Lonchura striata: one gene and its partner. The protein of the gene in region 2 interacts with the protein of the main gene of each other region in a pairwise test. Links are inferred from orthologs where the notes say so. Each region holds a gene or a part of one and is shown on either strand. Other genes may lie near its edges.

Evidence for each region. The genes of interacting proteins can lie anywhere in the genome.
Region 1: the proteins of INPP5K (region 2) and MAD2L1BP interact in binary tests that used the Homo sapiens proteins (3 or more experiments, as listed by UniProt). The link is inferred for Lonchura striata from reciprocal best matches to the Homo sapiens genes INPP5K and MAD2L1BP.

The regions. Positions count from the first base shown.
Region 1 is NC_134605.1:36,066,872-36,073,154, forward strand, and holds MAD2L1BP (MAD2L1-binding protein), read left to right. Parts: upstream 1-4,437; coding exon 4,438-4,623; intron 4,624-5,234; coding exon 5,235-5,765; 3' UTR 5,766-5,778; downstream 5,779-6,283. Other genes in the region: GTPBP2 (GTP-binding protein 2), read right to left, coding at 82-266, 869-895, 3,048-3,230. UniProt on the Homo sapiens protein: May function to silence the spindle checkpoint and allow mitosis to proceed through anaphase by binding MAD2L1 after it has become dissociated from the MAD2L1-CDC20 complex.
Region 2 is NC_134622.1:6,839,202-6,846,273, reverse strand, and holds the start of INPP5K (inositol polyphosphate 5-phosphatase K), read left to right. Parts: upstream 1-4,048; 5' UTR 4,049-5,647; coding exon 5,648-5,919; intron 5,920-6,095; coding exon 6,096-6,203; intron 6,204-6,824; coding exon 6,825-6,933; intron 6,934-7,072. UniProt on the Homo sapiens protein: Inositol 5-phosphatase which acts on inositol 1,4,5-trisphosphate, inositol 1,3,4,5-tetrakisphosphate, phosphatidylinositol 4,5-bisphosphate and phosphatidylinositol 3,4,5-trisphosphate.

The DNA.
Region 1 (6,283 bases), on a different chromosome or scaffold from region 2:
TTTGCAGGATGGAGCCGCCAGCTGCTCAGGGGACTCCAGGGAATCATGCTTTGGGCCCTGCAGACAAAAGGGAGCACGTACTTCTCTGCCATGCGGCGCAGCGTCTTGAGTGAGGCTCGCATCTCCTCCTCTGAGAGGCCCACCAGCAGCCCATTGTCCTCCACGCCGATCTGATAGACGGCCTCACCGCGGCCCTCCTGCAGTCGCCACTTCAACTGTGTCACTAGGTGCTCAAAGCGATACTGCGAGGGGTTCACCAGCTTTAGCTGTTGAACAGAAGGGTAGTTCTAGTCACAGCCTGGATGGAGAAGCAATCCCATTGCCCAATTTTGTGAAGCAATGTTCCCAACTCTGATACACCTCTAGAAAGCACAGCCTGTATTAGTGTCTGAACAGAAGCCATGGAACAGGTGAGAAGGGGTTTCACAAAGGTACAAATATATGGTAGAAGAACTCTCCTGCATCCTGACATAGGGATTTGTACCCTGGCTGCTGCAGGATTAAAGACAGCACTCTGGGACCAATCTGTGATCCAGGAGCCAATAAGTGCAAATGACAGAGCAGCCACAAGAAAGTGGCAAATAATTTTCAGCAATATCTGCATCTCTCTCTCAAGAAAAATACAGTAGGCATCACATGCTAGAAGAGATTCCTAAAAATCAGTACTGAGATCCAGCTTTACCAGCTCAGCAGACTGGTTAAAGCTTGGCACAGAGACACAAAAGATGAATGGTAGTTCCTTAGTGCAGTGTCCACTCTTCCATCCTTTCCTTGGCCATGTTACCCATAGGCTGTCTTTGGTGAAGTTAATCACTGCAAAATAACCCTCTGGCAGGAAGACCTCCTTCTGCAACCTCAAAAGACTCACCTTGTACTCGATGTTCCCATCTTCTGCCTGGTCAGAGAATGAAACAAGACAGAAGAGTTAGATGCTGTGCCCACAGGGACTTCTACAGGCACCAGCTGCCCATATATTCTGAAGCTGGTGCTGAAGATTTCAAAGAGAGGGAAAGTGGCAGAAAATGACTGTGTTAATCCCAGCTTTCTGCCATTCTTTCCAACACTCAACTAGAACTTTCCAAATGATTTGTTTGTGCTGTTTGTATCCCATATCATGAACACCAAAGGACAAAACTAGAGTGGGGTACAAGGGTAGTACTGTCCAGGGGGGAAATTTTTTTCTAAACAGTAAAGAATAGGGCCAGCCTAACAGTCAGAGAGAAAGTTCCAGTTTCAAAAAGGTACAGGCCAGCATATGACTTACAGTGTCACCCCTCACCCATCTGTGACCCACAAAATGCCACCCACAGCATCCCACTCCCACCCTATCCAGCAGCTTCCATCCATCCAATGTGCACAGAAAAAGGGCCTGAGAACAAAAGCTTCTGCTTCCTCTCCTGCTCAATGATACTCTCCCTCACTCAATTAATTTTTTCATTGACTCCCTTCTACATCCTTATGTATCTTCTCTCTACAAGGAAGGACTACAGACATAAAGAAGCATGGTAATGACTCATTTGCTAGCTAGTCACTGGCCAAAGTTCTGGAGAGCCAGACCTGATTGGGACTGTCTGTACCCAATATGTTCAGAAGTACTTTCTCAGGGAAGGCTAGATGGGGTTGTAACAGAAAGGTCTGGGTACTCATCAAACTCAATTCAACCAAAACAGGCTCCAGCTTACCAAAGAGAATTGTATCTAATTTTAAAATTAGATATACAATATTTAAGTATTTTTTTCCCAGTGATTCACTATAAGGACCAATAAGAAAGGGCTGGAGCCTGTAGGAAGCCATATACTCTGTCAGACTAAATGGGGCTGGCAACAGTAGGCACTTCCTTTTCCTCTGGACACCTATTTGCATGTCAGGAGAGGCAACAGCCCTATCCTTGCCTTCCAGCTCAGCTCTTAACCACAGTGGCACTTACAGTGGCAAAAGGCCAACAGAAGTTCTCAATTGTCAGCTCAGTTCTCTGGCTGCAGAGCTATGCCATGAGAAAAAGGTACTTGTAGCAGGTTTTCCCTTCTTGCCATCTACCAGTTCTAAGCAAAACCCATTCACCTACTGCACTGTCGTCTAAATAAGGGAGTGGGTCTTCTCCAAGGCTCTTGAGACTAGAAAAGCAACGAGCCTAGACTTGCTGGGGCACACACTGCACAGGGTAGCCAGAAACAGGAAGCTGAGTTGAAACCACAAGAGACTCTCCAGCCTCCAGCTGAAAGGAACAACTGCGGCTGCAGGGCACAGTCCTGCCCGTGGAGAAGATCTAACACTAGCAAAGTACTGTTTTCACATCTTCCCAAGAGTACCAGGTCTGTCTTGTGGAGGAATTGCTTGCTCCCAGCACAGGCTATTATATATTTTACAGAAAGTTCACTGACAGGGGCCGAGCAATGGAGTCTGAACCAATGTAATTCCCCCCACAGTGACAGTTCTATGAAAGCGGTGACAACTGCCCCAGCTGAGCACACATCCACGCTACTACCAATGCCACTTCTTCCTGCTGCAAGAGACAAGTGCCCTACCCCCTGTCCATACCATCTGCAGCCCTGTGCAAGGAAACAGCTGTCAAATTAGCTGGGGAGTCACCTGTAAAGGGGCTCAGACCCAGCAGAGCAGATCGCCTCTCGGGGAGAGATGCAAATGAGATGCTTGGAAGTACGAGGCGAGCAAAGCTTTATTTTCGAAGCTTTTCGATGGGAGGCGGCAAAGCGCCCGCAGACAGACGCCAAGCAGTGCGATACCACTCACGGGCAGGGTCCGGCGGACCCCGCAGGGAGCTCGCTGGCACCGGGTGCGCGAGCACGGCCCGGAGGAGAGCCCGGGCAGGCGGGCACACGGCTCCCGGGGCCGTGCGGCTGCTGTCAGCCCGACCCCGGCACAGGCCCGCACCAGCACCGCCGGCACCTCCAGCCAGACCCAGCCAGCGGGGTCCGGCCGAGGTACCGACCCGCTCTGGGGGGCACCGGCCCTCCGGCCCCTCCCGCCCCCGGGCCTGGTCTCGCTCCCTCCGCGGCTGACGGGACGCGGCGGCCGCCGGAGCTCACCTCGGGCGGCAGGAACGGGGGGTTGTTGGCCTTCCCTCCGCGGCTCCGCCCGTTCTTCTTCTTCGTCTTCGAGCCGCCGCCGCCGCCAGGCGCAGCCCCCCCGCGCCCGCGCAGCGTAGCACCTGCCCCGCCGCCCGCCGGCCGACAGCAGCCCCCGAACAGCTCTGACACCCGGGAGTCCATGGTGGACACCGCGGCCCCGCCGCCCCGCTGCAGCGTCCGCTCCGCTCCCCGCCCAGCCCCGCCGGCCCGGCTCCGGCCCCGGCGTCACAGACAGCCGCGCGGCGCCCCGGGAAAGCGAGTCCCGCCCGCCTACGACGCCAAGAACGCGCTGCGCGCCTCCTGCTCAAAACTACATCTCCCGGCGTGCCCCGCGGCGCGACTTGCTCGGTCCCGTATGGGTTCTACCTGCGGGGGCTGATGGGAGCTGGAGTCCAACGGAGAGGGCGCCGCCTGTCGGCCCCGGTCGACAACGTGCGGGATACCGCCGCTCCCCGGGCCCCGCTGCCGGGATCTGCGGACGCCCGTGGGTTATCCATTTGTCAGTTCACAGCCCCGGGTTCCCTAGTTATTGATATCGAACGATCAGTCATTCTGGATTCAGTAAACTTAGGCACTTTCGAAGCTGTTTGGCCTTGGAGGTATCTCATGACTACGCAGAGGCAGCAGCCCGACACAGAGCGATCCCAAAGCCCACGTTAAGATCCAACGCGGAGGGCGGCCGGAACAGCAAAAGAACCTGTAGCTGTGCGCCGCATCCCCTCACTAAGTGTATTCCCAATCTCCAGTTCCACGGCCACTGCGCCTTCTCTTTCCTCGCCGCATGCCCTGGGGAGAGCGACCCTGGATCACTGTCGGTGTAGAACTGACACAGGTGGCCGCGGTTCCTGTAAAGCAGTCTCAGAAAAGCTCCTCTCACCATCCCGCCCTCCACTCGCCATGCGCTGGAGGCGGCACCCAATGGGGCGGCGGGCACAATGTTTCCAAACACGGCACTCCCTGCAAGCTCCCCGCCTCCGCCACCCCGCGGCACCGCGAAGGCGGCTCTTCCGCAAGACAGCGGAGCCGCCAGAGCTGCCGGGAGCGGGGCTGAGGAGAGCGGAGCCGCCTCCTGCGGATAGCCTTGAAAGAAGCACAGCCCAGGTCCCGGCACGGCCTCAACCGAGGGGCCCCGGGCCGGGATCGGGTTGGGAACGGAGGGGCGGGGCTACGCGGAGACCTCCGCCCCTGCCACGCCCGCCAAACTTGGTGGCGTCGCCGCCAGAGGGCGCGCGGTGCGGTCCGTGCGCCCTTCCCGTGAGGCTCGGCGGCGGCGGCATTCAAACGCGGCGGCCGTTGGGGCGCTCGCTCGCTCCGCGCTCCCGGGCTGGCGGGCCTGGGCCGCGGCGCGATGGGGCCCCAGGGGGACGCCTCGGTGCCGGGCGGCCCCGCCGTGGCCGTGGCCTTCCCGGGAGCTGTGTGCCGGGGCAGCGGCTGCCGCTTCGCCTGCGAGCTCCTGAAGCACGTCCTGCACCAGCGGAACCAGCTCCCGCTGCCCTACGAGCAGCTCGCCTTCTTCTGCCGGCGGGCGGCCCAGGTGAGGGGCGGCGACCGCGGGTCAACCCCGGGCCGGGGGACTGGGTGGGCCGCGGCGTTTGGATTTTGCTTGCGAGCTTCTGTTCTCGCTCGGGGACTCGTACAGCAACGTGTCGGTGCCTTTAAAGTAAAGCGCTTGTTGTGGCTGCATCCCTAAATGCCTTTGCCTCTTCTTTTCAAAACGAGGCAAAGGCAGCGTTAAGTTCAGGCTGCTGAAGGTGCCGACAAATTGCTCTCAGTTGATTGTTTCATACTTTCCGCTCAAAGCGTGTCACTGCCTTGTTTGTTACCTCTAAGCAAAAAACCAAACAAAAATACTATTAAATGTTTTCAGAGAGATGGCTGATCTTTGAAAGATGGGCTTCTAATTCCTATTGGAATTAATTAGTAGGGCGATTCAGATTCCAGCTGAGTAGCTATGGATTGTGCTTTCGTGTTCCTCTTGCCATTTCGTGATGCGGAGAGATGTGCATCCTCCCCATGTGGGTACCTGTAGCTCTCAAAATGAACACAAGCTGCTTGTTCCTTGACTCTCTGGGATGGGCCATGCTTTCTGCAGCATATAATACATGTTCATAACTAACTGTGTTAATATGAGTTTTTGTCTTCCAGGATGGAGTTGGAATTGGGAAACCACATTCCCTGGGCCTGGCAAGCAGAAAGTGCCAGCAGCTGCTGATGGAGCTGGAGGGATTGTTCCAGCACCTGGAAGTCATGTTTAGTCTGACGCTAGTTCCTCGGGTTCTTTTCCTACTTGGAGGCAATGTCATCAACCCCAAGGAGCTCTATGAGCTGAATTTGGAAGGGTTCTGTGAGGGCTCTGCTGAAGAGAGCCTTGAGACTGCGCCCTGTGTTCGCCAGCTCTTTCACCGCCTGTTTGTTGCTGACGTCTTTAGTGAACTTAAGGCTCTCCCTGTCACAGTCACTCTTGTCCTGGTCCAGGGCCACCGTGACTGTGGTGTTGAGTGGTTCCGGCCCAAGCTCAACTACCAAGTGCCGACCCGAGGGAGGAAGCTGACTGTTAAGTTGTCCTGTGATGGAGACCTCCATGTTAGTGCCTCACCTCCACAGCACACAGTACCTGCTTGGGAGGACTACGTCTGGTTCCAAGCACCAGTGACCCTCAAAGGCTTTAGTGAATGAATGGTTTCTGTAGAAATTTAATTGGAAATATTTAATTGGAATACTGATTACCTTTTTTCTTTAGGTGTTAATTTTAGCAAATGTAACCATGTATTTTTGAACCATGTCTGTCTGAATTTTTTTGTCTTCATGGTGTCTACTGCCTTCCTGTATCTTGCTGCGCTCTTCTATTGTCCATATTTCCTGAGCTGTTGAAGGCAAATCCTCTTTAAGGAACAGTTGCACACAGGTCCAGCGATTCTTTAGGGACCTGATCTGTGACATGGGATGAATTAATGTGTTGGGAGTAAAACTTCCATGCTGTATGCTTGCTGAACTGGTAAAGGCTGGATATGTACAATCTCCTCCTGAGTTTTAATATGGCTATTTTCTGACACTGCCTCTGTCATGTTACACATAGGCTCTCTTAGGTGAAGTTACAAAATAACTATCTGGAAGGAAAACCTGTAGTCCTTGAAAGGCTCCCTATAGCAGGAAAACCAGCAGGCAAAACTGGAGCGGGACACAGAGGTAAAATT
Region 2 (7,072 bases):
TGACCATTTTAAAGCTTTTGACTTGTTTTCTTTCTATTCTGTTAAATATGTCATCAGTCTGAGGGCTGGTTTTGCCAAATTTTTCTTAGACACTGCAAAAATGTTGTATAGTGTTAGAGAGGTAAGAAAGCAAGGAGAAAGAAGGGATTGTCCATTTATATTAGCAAGAACAGGTTATTAGGGCAGTAAAATGCCATCCTTGGAAGGAATGGGGTGGGGCAGAACCACATCTTCCTGGAGTACTCACTGTTTACTTCTGTTTGCCCTCTGTTATCTCCTGGTTATTTGGTGGTATGTGGGGAACACGAGGAGAAGAGGGAGTGTCTTTTGATAGAAATATTTTAATTTTTGAATGCAGCTTCAACCACTTGATTTTCTTCTCTCCCATTTCCTGCGGATCAGTGCTGCAGTGTAACCCTGCATTGTCTGCCTGGCGACGGCGTGACTCACATTTGCTCTCTCAAGGTTGTCTGACACCTCCCTTGGCACACTGCTCTTCCAAAGCCATCCTGAAACGTTTCCCTGTTGTCTCTTTGTTTCAGTTTGCAAGACAGTCATCAGGAAGGCCCAGGGAATCCACACCCTCGACTGACGGACCATCTCTGGATCAAGCCTTTCTCTGTCCAACTGGCAGGCGATTTTAAACCTCCCATAGCTAATTCTAGATGCCCCTTAATATTGTGAGCAAATAGACAGTCTGGTACTAAGCACTCCAGTGTTAGCACGTGTATCCCAAGGAGTTCCCTCCTCGGGGCGTGTGACTTAGAGATCGCTGTATTTACAACTCCTCCCTCCTCTTTTTTTCATTGTGTTCAGACCAATTTCCATGTGGCCCTGTTTGATTTCCAAGTGACATTTTTAGCTCAAATAGTCTTGTGATGTGGTGACTTAGAATTTTTTTGTTTTGGTTTGTTTTTTGGTTTTTTTTTTCCAAGTGGGATAAGCTGCCACCTTTGTTTCTGCCCAGTTCTTCAATGTTCTTTGAATGTCTGTTTGGAGAGGAAAATAGTCCATATTTAAAAGTGCAAAACTCTTCCACAAAATGTTCTGCTCTCACCCTTGCTCCCAGAGGGAGATATTTAACGGCAGGTAACCTGAGTACAAAATGAGGAGCAGCCAGTGGGTTCTTGGTTTGTGGTGAGTTGGGATTTGTGGCTTCTGCAGGGCATTACTTTGTTCTGTCTTAACAAACATGAATTAAAGACTGTCCAGAAGCTACAGTCAGGCCCTGTACTGGGGCATTCAGCACTTACCTGTTGATTTTCCATTTTAAGGGTCTCTCTGGCCCATGTAGCTCTGTTGTCCTCCAGCTGTGTGTGTCAGTCTTACAGAATCTTTCTTGACACATGTTGCAACTTCCTGGTTCTTTATTAAGACTTCCCATAACTTATAAAGCTAGAATGGTTTTGACTAATAATAACGATGTGATTCTCCCTGGACAAATTGGAATGTTGCAAAGGCTGGTGTGCAAGAGAGGTGTTGGCATCTGGTTATATCCAGGTGCCTGGGGTGGTGGTTCTGCTCAGCAATAATATTCTTCCCATTGCAAGACTGACTAAAGTATCTCCTTTTGTGCTGTAAGAAAAAATACTTATAAAGACCTGCAGTTTTCTAGGATATCTGTTGGTTATTATAAATCATAGAGGATACTGTTAATGTAAAGAGCTCTCGTTATGTAATGAACTGAAGTATTTACTGTAACTATCCTTATGTTGGTATCAGCTTTAGACAATCAACTCAGCAGAACAGAATCAAGGAAATGCTGCTTTCTTCAATACATATGAGGAAAAAAAAATCCTACTTCTTTGCTTATCCCCAAGGCCCAATGCTTGATTTTTTTTCCCTCCCCTAGTAGTAGTTGTTGTGGACAAATTCGATTGGGGAGGCTAATTATAGATAAATTAATTAACAAGAATTTATTAAGCAAGCGGTATTAACCAAAAGAACAGCGCTGGGCGGCTGGGGAGCTTCTGCTCTGCCATGGCGCACCTTCCCCCTTTGACCTTTTTGTTTTTATAGTCCCTTTTTTCTCCCAGTTGACATATTTTCTCTCAATGCACCGGTGCAATTGGTCGCTGGGGGGTCTTTTTTTCTGCCCTTGGTGGTCATAGGAATGAAGGCTTCTCATCTTCCTTGCAGATTGTCCTTGGCCTAAAAGTTAACTTGTACATAATTAGTTACACAGTCTTCTATGCTAGTTGCATTCCCTACTCAGTTCAAACTTTTCTCTCCTTTAACACTCGTTTTGATGAACAAAGACCTTTTTATTTATTACGGTAATAACTTTATTTTCCACTTCTGTGTTTGGCAGCACTAATGTGAAACTCTGAATGCCAAACACTCGTGGGTGTATCACCACTTTTGAGGAGTCTTTTTAGCATTCTGCAATACACTGACTCCTCCAGCCCTTCCCACTCGTGCAAGCAGGAGATCCTGAAATGATCCCATGCCCTGCTGAACAAAGCTGTGCTGGGATCAGAGCTGTTTTCAGTGTGAGAGAAGACGGGAATGCTCTGGAGGGAGAGGATGGCATTGGTTTCTGGGGAGGGGGCAGTTTATCCCTTTATTTTTAGTTTGTTATTTTGCCTTACTCATGTCTAAGTGCAATAAGCTCTGAATTGTACCAGTAACTCTGGCAGGCTCTTCTCAGTGACCTCAGACGGTTCTGCGGGGTTGGGGTGGGGTTTGAGGGGTTTTAGCAATCTCACCAGGCAGAAGTAAAACAAGTTTATTGTAAAATAGGTAAAGAAACTAAATTTTAATCTTTGAGGCTATTTGGGACCAGGATGTTTCATGACATGTTGTATAGCTGTTCCAGAAGTATTCTAGGAGTGTAGGCCCCAGTTAGAGTCCTTTCAGTTTGAAGTATTTTTAACAGAGAATTTATGCACTGACTCCTGTTCATGTTTGTTGGCTATGTTTTGAGGGATTCTTACACTTGAGGGCAACCTGAGAATACACATAGCACACTTGTTCTTTCAGTTTGTGTTATCCAAGAGGCTTTCCATCTGATGACACTAATCGCCGTGGAAGCAGATTGTAACATTCCACCATTGCAATCCTTTTTTTGATCCTCTGATTTCAGAGTAAGAGCTTTTACACAAAGCTTTCCTGATTAGTGGAAAAACTTGGAGGGAGGCGGGGGGAGGGGGGGAACTGCAGGACCTTCATCCTGAATACTCCCCCTCTGCTCCCTGCCCTTTGTTTTCCGTCCTTCCAATTTGATCCTAAGTGAAAACATCCCTCAGCCTTTGGATAGACAAATCCTGTAAAGACCCTTCAGTCTCGACGCTTGGTTCCTGCTAGTGAGCATAGCAAAGATCACGCAGCGTTCCCGTGCCGTATCTTCCATCAGCTTTGGCGAGAACCCCCGGATCTGCCGGCTCCCGGCGGGATCCCATCCTGAGCGGCTGGATGCGCTGGGATCGCCACTGCCATCCAGGCCCGCTGGGTTTGGGGCTCCAGGGGCAGCCCCCTCGGCCCAGCCTGGCTCAGGCTGGTTTGCTGACAGGGCCGCTCGCCCCTCATATCCCGCAGCCCTCTGGGTTCATCCCGCCACGTCCCGAGGGGTTCTCCGCGCTCTTTTCCTTTGGCGACACACACTTCGTAGAATGGGTTAGATTATCTCGTCGTTTCTTTAAATGTGAGTTTGTGCCTTTTTTGTCTCCTAAATCTTCCAATACAGGCATATTGGAAACGAAATCTAATAAAATACTAGACAGAGCCTGTCGCTTCCGCCTCCTTTTTTTGGGGTTTTTTTTTGGGGGGAGGCCTCGGTGCCATCATCCTAAAGGCTGCCGTGGGTCCTCCCGGCCGCCAGGGGGGGCGCGGCCGTGCCCGCCCCCTCACGCGCGCCGCTGGCGCTGAGGGCGGCGCGGAGGCGGCGCCGGGCCGGGCCGGGCCGGGCCGAGCGAGGGGAGCGCCGGGGGCTCCGCCGGCCCTTCCCCGTCCCTTCCCCGTCCCTGGGCAGCGCTTCCCTGCGGGAACCCGCGGCATGGAGCCCGCGGGCCTTCCCACCAAGGAGTTGAGGTGAGGGAGTGGGCGCGGGGCTGAGGGCGGCGGCTCCGAAGAGTGGCCCCCAAGCGCTTGCGTAAATTAGCGAAACTTGTGTGTGCGCGCTTATTCAGCGCAGAATTAAACAAATTGGCGGCGTTGCGTAGTCATATGAAATAGAGGAGAAAAGCTGATTTTCTGGTTTGGAAGGTCGGTACTGGAGTGGTTCAGGGAGCTTAGGGGGCATTTCTGGGTGTTGGGATTCCCCGGAGCTCTGTTTGTGTGTGATGAGGGCACTTCTGTCATGTCTCGAACTTGTCACTTTCCACGAGGAAGAAAAAGCTTGAGTAAACACTGAGCTTCTGCTTTTACGGTGTTTTAACGATGTGTCTTCGCTCTCTGTCGGTGTCCCGTCTGGGCTCGATTCCCTACAGAAACCTGCTTAGATGGGATTTGGGTAACAGCCTGTGACAGGAAAATTGAAACAGCCAAACTAACGAGCTGTCATGAGCTCAAATATCTTAAAAATCCTTTGGAGGCTTTACTATGAGCACTGTGACCCTGAGAAATTTCTCCGCTATTGAGTCACTTGAGGATTAGCAGCGGTGATGCTAAATAACGACTTTAGTAGGTTGCTGGTATTTAGGACAGTGTTTGTTTCTACCTCCGAGATCTGTGTTTTTTGTCAGTACTGTGGTCACTGGGCACCTTGAAGAACTGAATTTCTGTCTGTAATGACTGATGTCTTCCAACATGATTTCAGTTTTGTTTAATCAGGTAATTGTCTTACAAAATTAGTAACTGGAGAGCGTTCCCCAGTGATACATCTCCGGTGGCAAAATTAGATCTGCAGCCTACCTACTTTTTTTCCCCCTAGAAATTTGTTTTGGAGAGCTTTTGTGTGACTTCAGCACAGTCTTACAAAGATACATTATTAGTGAGGGAAATTATGTATCACTTTAATCTATTGTGGAAGGTTGTTTTCCTGCTTTTCTGTGCACATTTCTGTGCACATCACCTTGAGCAGGCAGTTGATTGTGGGATAAAAACACAGCCTTAATAATGGGTACTTGATGGGATTCACTAATTATCAGTGTTTATAAGGTCATGATAGAACTCTAAGATGATGGAAAATTAACAATTTATTATTTTTTAAGCCTGTCTGTTGTGTAACACAACTGACAATAAAATGAATCTCTTTTTAGAAGCTCTGTTACTGAAATAACCACTTTGTAAAGAAACAATGCTGTGATGTGAATGTTGAGTCAGTGGCTTTGCTTGGTTCTGATCAGAACTTTGCATGTTTTGGAGCTGGAGATTACATTTCTCCTTGCCTGCAGACAGGCACATGATCCATTCAAACCGACAATAAATTCTTTTAAACCCTGAGCTCGTCGAATTAACCACATTAAATCTATTATGAAAAAAACAATTCACTGCGTGTGGTACACCGCGATTGCAGTTTTTGTAACAACCCAGCGAGTGCGCTGGGAACACCACAGGTATTTTTTTTTTTCCCCCAGCATTGCTGCACCTACATTTATCCTTTTGTGTTGGAAGCAATGCTGAATCCCACAAGATCTGGAAATCCCTTTTCAATCTCTTGATTTTAACTGGCCGGTCCTTCAGGGCGTAGCTCCAGCTTGGAGAGCAGATGGCCTCGAGCAGCGAGGACGCATTTCAGCACTGCGAGGGGCTCTCCCTGAGCGAGCCGGAGAGCGGGGCCAGCCTCCGCAGCCGCTCGGCCAGCCTCAGCAGCACCGGCTCCAGCGGCCGCCTGCAGCTCCGCCACAGGGTGGCCCAGCTGATGGCCTGCGTGGAGGACATCAGCTCGGATGACGAGATCCACGAAGAAGTGTCTCGCACCCTGGATGAAGCTTTCCTCATCTGGGGGAAAAAGCTGAAGGATAAGCGGCAAGAATTCAGGTTTTGCTGCCTCCAGTTGGTTGTTTTCGTGGTGGTGTCGGGGCCTGGCAAAATGGATTTCTGGTTGATGGAAAGAGATAGAAGTTCTGTGGGGAAATTAGAATGTTCTTAGAGTTGGTTGCCTGTCCCCATTTCAATTTTAGCACTGTATTTTTGTGGTTTCTGTTTGTTTTTAGACTACACTTAGTTACCTGGAATGTGGGCACAGCTTCTCCCCCTCCTGATGTCACGGGTTTACTTCAGCTCAACTCGACGGGCCCCACCATGGATATGTATGTTATAGGGTGAGTGGTATTAAAGAACTTGCTTTATGAGTTTATTGCAAACTTGCTGGGTCTCAGCATGGTCTGTTTTGGGCAGACTGATGTGAATCACTGCCTGGGAGATGGTTTAACACTATTGCTACTAGAGGGTGAAGACTAACGTAGCCTAACTAACAGGGGACTAACTTAGAGATTATTTATACCAGTTAGCTGCTGCTATGTGGTGACAGAATGCAGAATATCTTTTTTCTAAACATGCAAAAATTTTGGGCTGCTGTTTTTTTTTTTGTTAGCATGTTCATTTTGATATGAAAGTTATTGGAAATTCAGCATGTTTTAAGGGAATTGGTGCAAGCTTGTTAGGCACAATCTGCCACTGAGTTTTCCAAACTAGGCTGGAATTCTGAAGTCCTAACAATCAGGTTTTTATAACACATCTTGAGTCTGGCATAGGCTTAAACTCTACCTTCAGGTGTATATAACCTCCTTTAATTTTGTCAGATGTGTCAGATCTGTGTGTGGGTTAAACTGCTTGAATGAGAAACTGAACAGAAAGAAATTTCTGAGGTCTTTGTTCTGCAAAGTTCCTATAAATTCTGTCCAAGCCAACTGGTGCAATGTGAGTAATTGTGATGTATTCAGCTTACAGGAGGTGAATTCAAAAATCACAAATTTTCTGTCTGACTTGGCATTTGATGATCCATGGAGCATTTTTTTCATGACTGTCTTGTCTCCCTTGGGATATATCAAGGTAATTATTCACACCACTCTTAAGTGTCAGAGCACTGAAGGAAAAGTCTTAATTTTTTTTCCTCAGATTATCCATAAAATATAAGTTGATGGTGTTTTCGCAGGTGTCTGTCATTCCATAGGTACACATATGTTAGAAA